2 linked regions of the Neurospora crassa OR74A genome follow. The protein of the gene in region 2 purifies or fractionates together with the protein of the main gene of each other region. This does not show direct contact. Links are inferred from orthologs where the notes say so. Each region holds a gene or a part of one and is shown on either strand. Other genes may lie near its edges.

Region 1 (7,305 bases), about 2.3 Mb from region 2:
CTCCTCAGCCTCGAGGCGCTCAATCTCCTTCTTGGCCTTCTCAATGTTCTGCAAGCGGCATTGTTAGCAACGGCTAGTTCAACAGGAACGAAACAATATCAACATACCTTGCGAGTCTGCTCAGGCTGGTCAGCCTTCCACTGCTCGAGCTTGGCCTTGATCTTCTCGACGGCAGCAGGGATATCGGTAGCAGCCATGGGGGGCTCGACACCGACGAAGCTGCAGTCCTCAATGACCGAGGGAGGGAGGCTGAAGGTCTTGCCGGTGGCGACAGGGGCAGCACCGGTGGGCTTCTTGGACTTCTTGCCCTTCTTGACGGCAGGGAGGTAGTCGTCATCACGCTCCTCCTTGCGGACGAGCTTCATGCCCTTGAGGCCAGAGTCGTCAACCTTACGAAGAGCCTGGGCACCGAGACCCTTGTCGGCCAGGAGAGGAGCCTTCTCGGCGACCTCGTGGCTGGGGTCGAAGTACTTGAGGAGAGAGTTGGCACGGCGGATCTCCTCGAGGTAGGCGGGGTCAGAAGCCTCGGCAAGCATCTTCTGGGCACGCTCCATGCGGCGCTCCTTGGCGATGCGCTCACGCTCGGCCTGCTGTCTCTCGCGAGCCTTCTCGCGCTGCTCACGCTCCCACTTGGCGAACTCCTTCTTAGCGCCGTAGTACTCATCCTTGAGCTTCTTGATGGCCTGGTACTTTTCAGACTGGAGCTGCTGGAGCTTGGTGCGCTCGTCGCGCAGGCTGGAGAGGTTCTTGTAGGCCTCGTCCTGCTCGGCCTTGATGGCGTCAAGCTCGGCCTGGAGCTTGTTGTACTTTTCGCTGAGGGCCTTGGCCTCGGGGTCCTCCAAGCTGTCCTTGATCTCCTTGATCTTGGCCTTGAGGTCGTCGATCTGCTTCTGGGCATCGTCGAAGCCAGCAAAGCTCTTGCGCTGCTTGCGGAGGTTGGAGATCTCGGCGAGGGCCTTCTTCTCGTCGACGAGCTTCATCATGCCGCCGTTGACCTCCTTCTCCAGGCGCTCAATCTCGCGGTCGAGTTCCTCGGTGGACTTGAAGTTGACCTTGCTGCGGGCAGTCTTTTGCTCGGCAATGCGGCTGCGGAGCTGCTCATCGAGGCGCTTGATCTGGTCGAGCTTGGAGGTGCGGGCATTCTTGCCACCGGCCTGCTGCTGACGGATCTCGTTGAGCTGGGAGATGAGCTCCTGGCGCTTCTTCTGGGTGGGGCTGGGCTGGTCCTTGTTCTTGCTAGGAGCGGCGAGCTCAACCTTGGCCTTGATCTCGTTCTGGATTCAAGGACAATTGGTTAGTCTGGCCTTGTCACATGGCAATTGGAGGCAGCAGCTTCTAGTAGCAAAAGACGTGGTGGTGGTGAGGGTGGCGTGGACGGCAGGGTGCATCGTGAGTGCGAGGGCGGGTGCTCTGACTCCACGGTATCGGGTAGATGCGCTCTTGGTAGCGGCCAGGGCAGGGGACTCACGTATTTCTTCAGGGCCTCCTGATACTCCTTCTCGGCCTTGGCGAGGTTCTCGTTGAAGGCATCCTGATCAGGCTTGTGAGGCTTGGTGGTGGCCGCAGGGGCGGCAGCGGGGGATTGCGACTCGGCCATTGTGTGTGGTGTTGGGGGTTGCTGAAGGAAAAAAAGAAGAAGGAAGAAGAGACGAAAGGAAGGGAATAGTAAGATAAAGACGGGGAAGGGGGACTAGGCAACCGGGGGGCGTGGGTCGGAGCCGGTGGGTAGGTTGGTTGGAGAGCTACTTAGTGTAGAACAGCCGCGGGCGACCTGAGGAAGGATGGGAAGTGGAAGGCAGTGCACGTCCGAGGACCGCTGTTCGGGTCCTGTAGGATAGGATGTACCTCTGGGGTAATCGCTGCTTTGAGATGTGGTTATGTGGATGTGTAGTGGAAGATGGGGTCCAGACTGCCCTGGGGAGAACAATGGCTAGGTAGTGCGGGTGCTGTCAATGCCTGATCTGTTTTGCCCGCATCCAAATTGACAATTGAACGGGAACTAACCTAACTTTGGTCACTTTGAACCCTCAATTCACAGTCCCGTCGCCAGTTCCAAAAAATTCCAAAATTTGTCCCGCTTCAGGCGTGTTCCAGATCTGCAGATCGTGGCCTTTCCCCGACACCGTGTCACGCGTGTCACCGTCTTGGCCTGTGCGCTACTACCTACCCTACCAAGTACATATGGTGCGCTGGTTGGTTGGTTGGTTGGTTGGTTGGTTGGTTGGAGGATGATGATGATAGGTTGAATTGGCTCTTCACTAAGTTCACTTCACTTTGCCCAGCAATGTCCCTCATGGAACATATATGGATCATGGAAGAGGTTTATATAGGTAGTTGGCCGAGGAGAATTAATTTTGTGTACTATCATGTATGTACCGGAAACGCAACTTGAAGTGTATGTCCGCTTTTCCAGTCATGCATAAAACCAGCGCACGCCATCACTGTTCCTCCTAGGTCTTTCACGACTTCAACAAACTGCCTGCCTGAATCAGAAGCCGGTCAACGGTCAACAGCACAGACCATCTGCGCGCTTACTTGTAGTGTCTCACAGGGGTGAAGGCAGCCTCCGGCTCACTGTGGACCCATCCATCTCTTATCGGCCGGCGTGGAATCCTGGAGTGCCCGGGCGTTAGGTCTGATCAATGCGGCCACGCCTCTGGTTTTCGGCGACACCCACCCTTCCCGCAATTTTTTGAGAGCCTTTGTCCTTCAGCCTCGTAAACAGGAAAGTCCTCCAAGCTATCAATCCACCAACACGCCATCCACCATCGCGAACCACCACCTCACCTGCGCAACCTCCACATCACCACCACTCCGCGACGACAAACACTACACTTCAATCGACTGCCCAACACACACAGTCAAAATGGAGGACGACAGCAGCCCCACCAGTGCCTCCAAGGAAGTCTCCCGTCTGTGGAGGGCCTGGAGGACTGTTCACGAGATGGTTCAGGACAGGGTACGCCATCCATCCTTATCACGGCGCTTGCTCGACGCGCCATCGCCCAGAATGATTCGACCTATTCTGACATGTACATGTGCTTCTCGACTATAGGGCTACGAGTTGGCGGAAGACGAAGTCAAGATCTCGCTCGAGCGGTTCAAGGCTGAATACACGAACGAGGATGGAACACCAAAGTGAGTTCCTGCGTCGGCACCCATCACCCCTCCATCACCACCACTTTACGCGTCGCATTTCAAACCTCAAACCACTATCACCTCCCCACCAGACTAACATGACGACACCAAACCACAGCCGCGCCAAGCTCCAATTCTCCGCCCGCCCCTCGGAAGCCATGATCAAAAAGTTCACCGCCCCTCCCACGCCCTCCAACCCCAACCCCGTTCCCGAATGCGGCACCATCTGGGTCGAGTTCTGCACCGAAAAGGGCTCCATCGGCGTGTCCGTCATGAAGAAATTTGTCACCCACTGCTCCGACAACAAGTTCAAAGCCGGCATCTTCATCACCGCCGTCCCGCTTTCTGCCCAGGCCCGCAAGGTCATGTCCGTCACCTCGCAGTACACACAGGTCGAGTGCTTCCTGGAGGAGGACCTGCTGGTCAACATCACGCACCACGAGCTCGTGCCCAAGCACGTGTTGCTGTCCAAGGAGGAGAAGGCCGCGCTCCTCAAGCGGTACCGACTCAAGGAGACGCAGCTGCCGAGAATTCTGAGCAAGGATCCGATTGCGCGGTATCTGGGACTCAAGAGGGGCCAGGTCGTCAAGATCATTCGTGTGTCGGAGACGGCGGGTCGCTATGCTTCTTACAGGCTTTGCGTATAAGGGGGGCAAGCGTGTGTGCGTGAGAGAAGGGGGTGGTTGCGTGCGGTTGGCAAAGCTGGGCTGGCTGGCTGGCTGGCTGGCTGGAGGGCACTACACCAATCCATCCAATCTCTCCCCAGGCTTGATTTGTTCTCTGGACGGTCTTCGACGGGCCAACGCGGGTCTGGCTGGTGGGAATCAGTTGATGACTATATGGACGAGGACTGGATAAGAAGCCTTGGGAAGGGGACGATGACGGCCAGCAGCGAAGCAAGAAAGAAGTGAAAGCACGGCAGCCACCAGCGGGACAGGGAGGAAGGGGTTAGGGGTTCGGTTGTGTAATACAAAACACTTGGGCGTTTTTCTTTTTCTTAACTATTCTAGCATCATGGGGGATACAGGGAAATCAGTTTCTGTTCTTTCGAATTCAAAAGAGGACAAAGAAAGAAAGGCGTTACGGAGTGGCTTTTGTACTAAGTAGCTTGAGATATATACCGACAAGAGAATATCCGAGCTATCATTATGAAATTTTGAGACAAGAGAGATTAGAGCAGTTGGGTACTGTGTTTGCTAATGGGTATATTCACCACGGAGTCTACTATATTAGAGTGCTTATCTGAGCTAGAAGTAGCCCCTGGCTGAATCATCAACATTCAGGTGTTTGGATGCTGACTGAAAGAAAGTTTCGTCAATCCCTTTTGAAATCGGGCATGAGATATCAGAGTTATTGAGCTGTTGATTCGATTGCTCAAGAGTTACTCAGTGACTGGTGACATTGTATTGACCAATACAGAACTATACGCAGCCTCTACCATAAAGTCAAGACACTTATCCTCCAACACTGTAATCCGTTTGTTACATGGCATGTTGACTGTTCAATTATTCATTCATTCCTCTGTTAATACACACCTAAAAGACTCACTCAAGTCCAAATCACGAACCAATCCCAATCCCAATCCCTCTAAGGCCAAACCTCAACCTTCTCCCACTCCCCCTGCACCTCCCCGCCCGCCTCCTTCGCATGATAACTATTTCCCCTCCACAAATACAACCACCGCCTCGCCCTCTTCGCATCCGACAAATCCACCTGATCCACCTCGGTCGGCACAATCACCACCACCCTGAAATTCTTTCTGGCTACCTCATCCTGCAAATCCACCACCTCCTGGCCCAACCCCTCCCCTTTTCCAGGGGGGAACGCCACCGGCTGTCCCGGCGGCGGCCCGCGAAACGTGCCCCTCATGACCGGATTCAAATTTCCAAAATGCGCCGTAACCTCCCTGCTCCAGCTCCATTGCTCCTCATCCTCCTGTGTCTTGCCCTCCAGTCTGCGCATCCGCTGCCGCAACACCTCCCGCACCTTCTTGGCCCCTTCACTGTCCACGTCCGGCCCCAAAAGCCAGGCTGATCCACGGATCCGCCACTGCGTCATCACTTTTTTGTCTTCTCCTGTTTGGGCGTCTTTAGCCTTCTCAATCCAAAATACGGCCTCAACGGGCCCCCCGCCGCCCGTCATCTCCCCGCCCGCTTCGATCCGCTCTTCCGAGGCCGTGTCGACGATCTCGGCGGCTTTTTCCATGCGGGCGTCCGTGGTGAAGGCGATCATGTCGCTTTCGAACACGCCGGGAGGGTTCAGCTCGGCGGGGTTGTGCGGGTTGGCTTCGAGTTGGGCCCAGAGACTGCGGCAGACGCAGGTGCGGGCGCGGGGGAGGACGGGGATGGTGGAGGAGACGGGGGTCGGGGTCGAGGTGGAGGATAAGGAAGGGGGTAAAGGGTGGAGGGTGGAGAGAACGAAGGTGCGAGAGGAGGGAGGGAGGGAGGTTAGGTGGGAGAGAAAGGGGGCGCGCCAGGGGGGTGGGGTGGAGGGGAGTGGTTGGCGGTTGGATTGTTGAGGGGTGGAGGTGGACATTTTGGTGGCGGTTGTTGAGGAGGGGGTTGAGGTGGTTGAAGTAGTGCCGGTGAGGCAGCGGTTGATGGATGGTGGTTTGGTGTAGCGCGGTGGTGATGTTTTGGAGATCTTCTGGTCGAGATTGGTAGCTGTTGCGGGAAGCCTTGGGACTTTGGTCGACAGAGAACGAAAGATGATGGTAGAGAGTCTCTGGGAATGCGGTGATGATTTCTGACAACAGCTGTTGGTAATGTTGAGCTTCAACTTGATGACGGGCAGTCTACTAGCCATTCATCGATGACGTCCGTGATTGGAAACAGGTGGGCGTTGAGCGAGGTTGCTCGGTGGAAGGAAGTCTGCCCCTCGTATGTTGACGTTGCCAGTGATGCTGGTTAATTGGAGGTCGAATGGGTGAACTGAAAGGCAGACGCAATGTTGATTTGAGATGTCCAGAAGAAGGAGCAAGTTATTGGAAGGAATGAAGAGGGTTGATGTAGGGCAACAGCTACAGTAGTGCCTCTATGATGACGGCTGCATGTCTGACCCCACGCTGCGATGACGGAGTCGATCGGGCCCGGGCCTACCCCGCTGTTTACTTGCTCCATTCGTCAACAGCCATCAAGGTGTTTGCTCGTTTGGAACAAACTGAAACCTTCCTATCACTGGTAGTATCCGAATAGGATATTGATTGCAAAAACAGCTTGGAATTATTGCAAGGACCTGGGAGAGAAAGCCAGGGACACAGCATATACTCTGCTCTCCAAGAAGCACGTCAGTCTCCTTCTGCTAAGGAACGGCCCGGTGCTAGTTCTTACTTGCACTCTTGGTGTAGCCACGCTATGGTACCCAATCGGATGAACTGAGCCTCCAACACGTTTCAGGAAAGGTTTCTCGAAGAGGTTGATAGTTTTGAAATTCTTCAGATGTATGCCAAGGAGGAAGAATTATGGTGTTCTCTTTTGACCGCGCGACTAGCGGACGTTCTTGCTATGATCACCTCTGGACCAATCATGTGTTGTGTTCGCTAACAATTTATATAATTTGTACAGGAAATCCTACCCTCTCACACCTAAGCATCCAAGCAGAAAGCTATATATTGTACAATGCTGCCTTGGCGAAAAGTTGTCCATTAGTCCAGGTCCATGGGATACGGTTGGATATTGGTCGTCGTCTATTTCAGGGACTCTAAAATCTCAGATTTACCGGACAACATCATCGTAGCTTTCGAAATTCTACAGGAGCATTTGCCAGAGACCTACATGGAAGTAAATATGGTTCAACAGTATGGGCCAAGTTAACGGGTATGGTTGGACATGGATGATGGCCTTTCGCGAGTAACCAATTCGATCTACCGCGGACGTCGAGTTGTTGGTTCGTTAGAGTTGATATCTGCCGAGAGACTTCATGTGCAGTGAGCTCATCGACGCCAGATATACAAAAGAATGGCACACTGACCATGGAATCGTCACCCAACAGTGGTACTTTCGAGTCTGAACCATCCAAGGATTATAACTATATAACTGGTCAGAAAGTGCAGTGACCGACCACCATCATGCTTCACCTTAACGTCGGACACTACGTATAACTAATTGTTTTTTTCCCCTCCTTTTCCACAACACAACCAAAAGCGCTTCTACTTATATCAGCTACTTT
Region 2 (7,242 bases):
CCCTAACCACCTCCGTGACAAACCCTCTCACCCTCCTCGCCAACTCCTCCCCCTCGTCCTCATCCAAATCCTCCCTTTTCCCCCTCCCAAACATGGTACTCGTAAATCTCTCAGCCTCCCTCAGCCCTGGCCTGGGAATGATATGAAAATGCATATGCTCAACAACCTGCGCCGCGGCCGACCCGTTGTTCTGGACCACGTTCCAGTCTTTGATTCCCGTCGCCCGCGTCACTGCTTCCGAGAGGATCCGTAGGTAACGCCCCAATTCGGCGGCTTCATCGGGAAGAACGTCGGTGAGTTTGGCGGCGTGCCGACGGGGGCAGAGTAAGAGATGGCCTGGGGAGAGGGGCATGATGTCGAGGAAGGCGATCAGGAGGGGGGTGGAGAGGAGGAGGAAGGTTTGTGGTTGTGGGGAGGTGGAGGTGGAGGGGGGGAAGGGAGAAGGGGGGGTGGTAGGGGGGTAGGGGGGGAAGGTCGAGGAGATGTGGCAGAAGGGACAGTTGGGTTGGGTATCGGAGGAGGATGAGGATGAGGTGTTAGTGGCGCCGGCGCCTGTCTTGGAGGCGGGAAGGCTGGGGTCGAAAGTGTTGGCGTCGGGGACGATGGAGCGTGGAACTGGTGTTGCTGGTGGCTTCTTGTCGGTTGAAGAGGCCATGGCTGCAGTCTGGCGTATGACGTAGTGATGTGTTTGAACGATTGTATATGTCGAAGAGCCCCGAGTTAAACTTGAACTGAAGAAATACTCAAGGGAAATCTCGACAAGGGCTAGGAGTGAAGCTGATCTCGCTATGTAATGATGCCGAGAATGATTGTTTGCTGAGTACGCCCCGTAACCAAGGACCAATGCGACAGAATGTCAAACAAATAATCAAGAAGAACGCCTTGCTCCGTGACAAATCCGAAAAGGAAACACCACTAATGACTCTTGTATGATGATTTCTAGCTGATGACTAAATAGTAGCTCAGTGAAGTACGGGACGAGAGGTCCGGGGCGGCATCTGAAAAGACCCCAAAGCCAAACACAAGTGAAGCACCGGGCCCGTTCCCCGTCCCTGTCTTACCTCCGCTTGCCGGCGGGCATCGACCCGGTGGTGTGCAGTGGTGAGGCGCCAGGGCTGCCGCGAACAACCTCGGCCTCCAAACTCCGCCGAAAACGTGGGGGAATTGCCTGCCGCGCTGACAGCTACCCACAGAAGAGTGGAGAATTTATCATGATATGACAGGGGTAACTTGCATTCGCAAAGTCCGAACGCCGCCTGCTTCTGTCACCCTTTGTCAAAGTCTGGAACTTTCTGCCTCAGCGTCCCGCCTTTTTTTACCTTTCGTTGTTCGCGTCCAGTTGAAACTCAGTCGCCTGTATAGGTAGCGCTCCGTCCCTCTCGTCCGTCGCAAACCACTCCACCGGTAAATATTCAACATCATCATCATCATCAACCGAACGACATCATCGTCGCATATCGCTATAAATCGCATAACATCGATTTGTCGTCGCCTCAACACAAAGACAATCTTACACGTTGCATAACCGTCATCCAATTTATCCGAGCAAACCCGACGACAAACAAACCCAAACCACAAATACCACACCACCCTCAACACAACACAAACAACCAAGATGTCTTCCCGCGAGCAATACCAGGTCCCCAACTCCCAGGGCTTCACCACCGGTGCCTCTAACAACGACGGCAACAGCGGTGGCAGCAGCGTCATGTGGTACACTTGCGGCGACTGCGCGGTCCGCGTGCCGCTCGAGAAGGGCGCTCCTATCCGTTGCCAGAAGTGCGGTGCGCGTGTTTTGTATAAGGAGCGCACCAAGAGGTACGTTTTCTTTGGGCTTACCCGGTGGAAGATTCTGAGAAGGTGGGAGAGAAAAATCTTATGCTAACGACGGTCTGGGGGTAATAGAATGGTTCAGTTCGAGGCTCGGTAAATGGTTTCTTATTCGACTTTGTTCGACTTGGGGCCAACAAAGGAGGTGTAGAAAGGGGTCGCTCTTCCTCGATGCCGTATCGGGCTGAAGTTTTCATCGTATTTGGACCGGCCGGGATGTCCTGATGCCCAAGGACGGGAGCCGAGTCAGCCTTGGAGGCAACGGGAACATTTGTCGAGGGGAGCTGGGACCGTAGGAGACTCGAACCGTCGATATCTTGGTGTGATTTTGCACCATTAGCGGTGGCTTAGCATGGCCCAGCCTTGAACCTACGGCTTGTTGTGATCAGAAGAAGGGAGATATCATATTCATCACAATATCATGATGGCGGCGTTCTGGGAAATATCGGTAGACTTGTGGGAATTTATACAAAGAAAGCATTGCTTTTCATCATCGTCATCATCACCTATCACCATCAGATGGATCCGTTCTGTGATGCTTCTCATTATTGATCATGTTTTTTGCCATATAGAATATTGGTATGGTATCACTCTGAAAACGCCGGTTGTATGCTAAATCTCCTTCCCTCTCGATCACTTGTCTTGCCAACACTGCTCCATAAATCCTTTCCTTACCAATGGCCAATCTCATCACCTCTGGCTGTGGAGGTACTTTGCAAAACTTGCGTCGGCCAAAACCGAATCATCCTCGCCCTGCATGGCAGCGGCGTACCTCGCCTGCAATCCCTCGCGGTCATACTCGTCGTTGGGATCGTCACCATATTCCTCGTCGCTGCTCTCCTCGTCCGTGCTCAACGGCTCGGGGGCCTCTTTATCATTGACGTCACCCACTGTGACGTCGCCCGCCGCGTCGCCCATCGACATTCCCTTCATCATTTTGTTGAGTTCCCTCTCCCGCGCCTTCTTCTTGTTCTCCTCCCTTTCTTCGCGCCTCCTCTCGAGCTCAGGCTGGTAATCGCGCTTGAACTCCTCTGCCTTCTCCTGAACCGCGGCAAAGAACTCGTCAATGCCCGTCCCGTACAGCGAACTGACGCCCACCACGTTCAGATGTGCGTAAAACTCCTCCAACATCAGACTCATGCTGTTCAACAGCGAGCCCATGTATCCGCTGCCCGAGCCCATGCCATCGCCGCTGCCCTCCGCTCCGCCAAACGCGTTGTTGGTCTCGTCCTCCTGCAGCGCAGCCTGGAACGCATCATAGTCGGTCATCCACTCCTTTGCAAAAGCCGGGTCCTTAACGTCCGACTTGTTGAAGACCAGAATCATGGGCAGCTTGGTCTTGTAAAGGATACTGCAGGCGTACAGCATGTTGCTCATGAAGGTCGACGTCGAGCTCGTCCGGGGGGTGTCGATGATGTAGGCGATGACGGTGGGGAAGGATGAGGCGAGCGACTCAAGGAGAATCTGGCCCGACGCGGACCAGACGAACACCTCGATCTGGCCCGGCGTGTCGACGAGAATGTGCTTGATGGGCGTGTGCGTCGGGTCGTCGGGCTTGGGCGCCGTGCGCTTCTCGAGCAGGCCGAGAACCTGGTCGACTTTGGTGGCAAAGAGGTTCAGCGATGTGAGAATGCCGCCGTTGGGGCCGAGGTTGTACTGCTTCATCACCTCCTTGTAGTTGACCGAGTCGCGGATGTCAATGTTGCTCTCGAAGGGCGAGTGGGTGACTGCTGGGTCGAGGTTGATGACATAAGGAGGCTCCTTCTTTCCGTGGAGATGGGCATTGATCTGTTGCATAAAGGTTGTCTTGCCGGATCCTGGGGAACATGGTCAGCTGGATGATTCCGCTTGCGGTTGGGAAAAGCACAGAACATGAGCATGCGTAGACCTACCTGCCATGCCAACGCAGACGATGGCAACAGGCTGGTCAGCCTTGGCGGCAGACGATGCCGAAGTCGAAGCCATGGTGCGACAGCTGTGCACGGGTGCGTGGAAGATCGTTTGGTGATCTCTGTGTTATCTGTCGGATAAAATCAAAGTTGTTGCAGATTTCAGTTTGCGCAGAGATGGTGTTGTAATGAGTCTCGGGAAGAAAGTTTCACGGATGTCGTAAGCGGCGGGGTCACTGCTGTAGGGATGGTCATAGGTGGTTGCGACGGAGTGAATGTCCGAGGGCCACAGAGGGGCAACACCGCAAGAGAAAAAAAAAAACAAAAAAAAACCAAAGTCCATTGATCGCCTGGCGTAGCGGGCGGAAAGGTTCCATCCATCAAGGCATGGGTGGGGTGAAGGGTAGGTAAGGCTTGGCATTTTGTTTTCCCCAAAGTGAAATGACTGAAACCTCGACATTGGTCTCTTTTCATCCTCTCACCCATTCATCTTCCAACTACCTACGCCTTCATGTTCCTCGACATCCAATCCATATCTGGCCGGCTCGCATCTCATCCATCATCTTTTTACCAATTTGGAACTAAATCAGTTGGCGACCTATACCCTGTTATCATGCCTATATCAAAAGCCCATATGGCCTGCTTGACAGCTTCTTGTTTTCAGCCGAGCCGCTGTTAATCCGCGAATACCACAGCCCTCAACCGCCGCAGTAGCTAGTCGACACTCGACCTAGTAACTTGGCGGTCCCGCTCTTCAAGTTATACCCCGGTATTATGGGTGCCTGGATATTTTAGGATCTCAACGGCTGGATGGCATAGCACTTGCCGCGGGCAGACAAGCCCCGAAGGCTTCATCGACCTCACAGGCTATTGTTCAATGAAGTCTGTCCACTTGTCCAGTTTCAACTAATCCTTTCACGCCTAGCAATGAAGCCGGATACGGATGCTTTTTGGACAATTCGGGGAGTCGTCGAGTGGCAATTTGATACTGCTGAACGAGACCGGGATAAGCGATGGGAGAAAAGGCGTCTCACGTCATCTTCGGAAAAGGTCAGGAACTATAGGCAGGATGCTGGCGGGGGCGATTCACCAATGCCAATGACCGCTAAACCCATGCTAAGCGTATGGTCGGTGGTCCCGCGCTGGGGAGTGGGCGCAGCCGGTGGCCTCTTATTGCGTCAAAATTCTCTTCAAAATGGTGGGTGATGGGAGCTGGGTTGGTCCAATAAGCCACAAACGTAATGGCAAGATCCGTCTGTTCGGCACTACCAGGAGGCAGCGTGGCCGGGAACCAAGCGGCCATCCACAGGCTGCCCCTCATGATACTCAGCCCTACCAACCTACCTCTACCACGTTCTATCCATTATACTCCAAGCTGACCCCCAAGATCCGTTTGAATTCTCTCCCTCCCACTTCCTCTCTTGTTTCGTCTCTCGTCCCACACCAGGGCCAGATTCATCATCCGACTTGGGCCAAATTCCAGCGACTCATCAAATCCAGGCTTCGGAGATCGGCTACTATACCCTGCCCACACCTCTATAGAGGTGAATAAACTTTCATTTATCGGTGTTACATATCTACCCACAGCATCCAATGTCCACCATGTTGCGCAAGAAGGAAGCCTTCACCGTTATCACGCCCATCCCGGGCTTCATTCCACGACAGTTGGCCATCGACATCCTTCATTCTCATTCTGAAGTCATTACTCTTAACCCTCTTGTCCTCGACCACAAGCCCATCGCGGCCCCCCAGGATGCAGAAACAGACGAGTATTATGCGACATGGTATGAGATCACCGAACGAGTCACGATTCTGCCTGGAATTGGGAGGATGGGGGCTACAACCATCAAGTTCAATGGCTGCTTTCACGACATGCCGTGGGGTCTTCAGACTCACATATACGCCCCCATGAACGTTGACCTTCGCAACACCTATCGCATCGCCGGTAATCAACCAAACTTTGAGCCTCCAGAGCCACTTGAGATGGGGTTATCAGCTCTTGGGGCACCGTCGGATGGGTTATATCTCCGTGAGGATATTGAGATCAAGTGCAGTCGCACTGTCATGAGCTTTGTCAAGTCGCAAATGAAGAAGGCGGGTGGGGAAATGGTGAGACGCATCATCAAGAAGGCTGAGTTACTGGATGCTGGCGTGCTTCAGGCTATGATCGAGGACGGAAAGCTGAAGACGTTCAACCCGGCCGACAAGAGGAATACAGTCCGACGACCGGCGGTGGCTTCTCCGGGCCCTCAGTTTTCGCCCACATTTGCCAGCTCATCGGCCTCTGGTACACCACCTCAGTCTCCCGGTATTCCCTACCAGATCCCGCGACCGCTATCTGCTACTCCCAGTCAACACCGGTCAAGTACTCCTGGATCCTACCACCGTCCTAACAGCTACGGAAAGGCACCAGCTGCTTTCGGCTATGGAACCCCGAATGGACCACAGGAGCTGTCTGTCACCAACCCTGAACCGGTCTCAAATGGTCCGATTGAGATGCCAGGCGACTTCTACCACGCCCCATCAAACCTTCAGCCTCAATCTCTGTCATCCTCCAACCGAAATTCCAGTCAGTCATACTCGTCCGACCGGCCACAAGCAAGCCCGAACCCATCATTACGCAGCGGGTTCCCGTCTCCCGCTTTGGACAAGAATTTTGGACTACAGACTCACCAGGAAACGTCCGAGGAGCACAGGGAGGAGGCTTTGAAGAAATTAGACCCGCGTATCCCGCATCCGTCTCACTACGCTCCGTATAATCCAGCGGATTACGGTCCCGTGGACCCGTTGAAAGTTCCCGGCAACCAGTATGGACACAGTCCACAGGCTCAGCAGCTGTATAAGAACACATACACAAGGTGATGGAACAGGAACGAATTTAACAGGTTTTTTTTTTTCATTTTTTTTTTCCAATGTGGCTTGACATTGGATGATAGACAGGCAGGTGGCTATATCTTGTTTTTTTTACTTGGTTCTTCAAATACCCATTCGCTTTTTTCTTTGCTATAATATGTGTACAGACTTTTGACTTTATGTGATGATGAAGACTTGGACGGGAAAAAGAGGAGTTAGCGTGCTGGTTCATTGTCAAGGCACTTGAAGGTTCGATAAGATCAATGTAATTCTTCACTTTGCAGGCGCCAAGTTGAGAGAGCATTGTCCCGTAGGCCTAACCAAATATCCTCTGCAGCACTTCCAGGCAGCAAGACTTAAATTAGTGTCACACCCATTCATCACAGTATGTGCGTGATGTGCTATGGTGGAATATCAAATGCAACTGCATACTTGACTGCCAAACATTCTCTTGCTAAAGTTACTCTTCCTCTTCTCTCCCGAACGCAATCATTGTACCGATGGTTGTTAAGAATCGAAATCGAGATGATTCTTGAGCCTATATCAACTCGGAAGACGGGTGTATAAAGATGATCTGGGAGCATTATCATAGTTGGCAGCACAAAGACTGGACTTTCGATTCTTCCTATCCATCGGAGGGTTATCAGTCATCAACACTCTGAAAACTGCA

Evidence for each region. Proteins that work in one complex are often made in the same cells at the same time.
Region 1: the proteins of NCU04507 (region 2) and NCU05305 purify together in Saccharomyces cerevisiae (affinity purification with mass spectrometry, with the first as the bait; 3 studies listed by BioGRID). This does not show direct contact. The link is inferred for Neurospora crassa OR74A from reciprocal best matches to the Saccharomyces cerevisiae genes NPA3 and RPB5.

Annotation. Positions count from the first base shown.
Region 1 is NC_026504.1:5,393,158-5,400,462, reverse strand, and holds NCU05305 (DNA-directed RNA polymerase II polypeptide), read left to right. Parts: upstream 1-2,624; 5' UTR 2,625-2,866; coding exon 2,867-2,959; intron 2,960-3,055; coding exon 3,056-3,138; intron 3,139-3,256; coding exon 3,257-3,785; 3' UTR 3,786-4,405; downstream 4,406-7,305. Other genes in the region: NCU05304 (nuclear segregation protein), read right to left, coding at 1-48, 108-1,274, 1,469-1,597; NCU05306 (hypothetical protein), read right to left, coding at 4,726-5,943. UniProt on the Saccharomyces cerevisiae protein: DNA-dependent RNA polymerases catalyze the transcription of DNA into RNA using the four ribonucleoside triphosphates as substrates.
Region 2 is NC_026504.1:3,140,831-3,148,072, forward strand, and holds NCU04507 (ATP binding protein), read right to left. Parts: upstream 4,043-7,242; 5' UTR 3,796-4,042; coding exon 3,723-3,795; intron 3,648-3,722; coding exon 2,521-3,647; 3' UTR 2,351-2,520; downstream 1-2,350. Other genes in the region: NCU04509 (HIT domain-containing protein), read right to left, coding at 1-655; NCU04508 (hypothetical protein), read left to right, coding at 1,616-1,818, 1,906-1,930; NCU04506 (hypothetical protein), read left to right, coding at 5,313-6,581. UniProt on the Saccharomyces cerevisiae protein: Small GTPase required for proper nuclear import of RNA polymerase II (RNAPII). May act at an RNAP assembly step prior to nuclear import. Promotes sister chromatid separation during anaphase.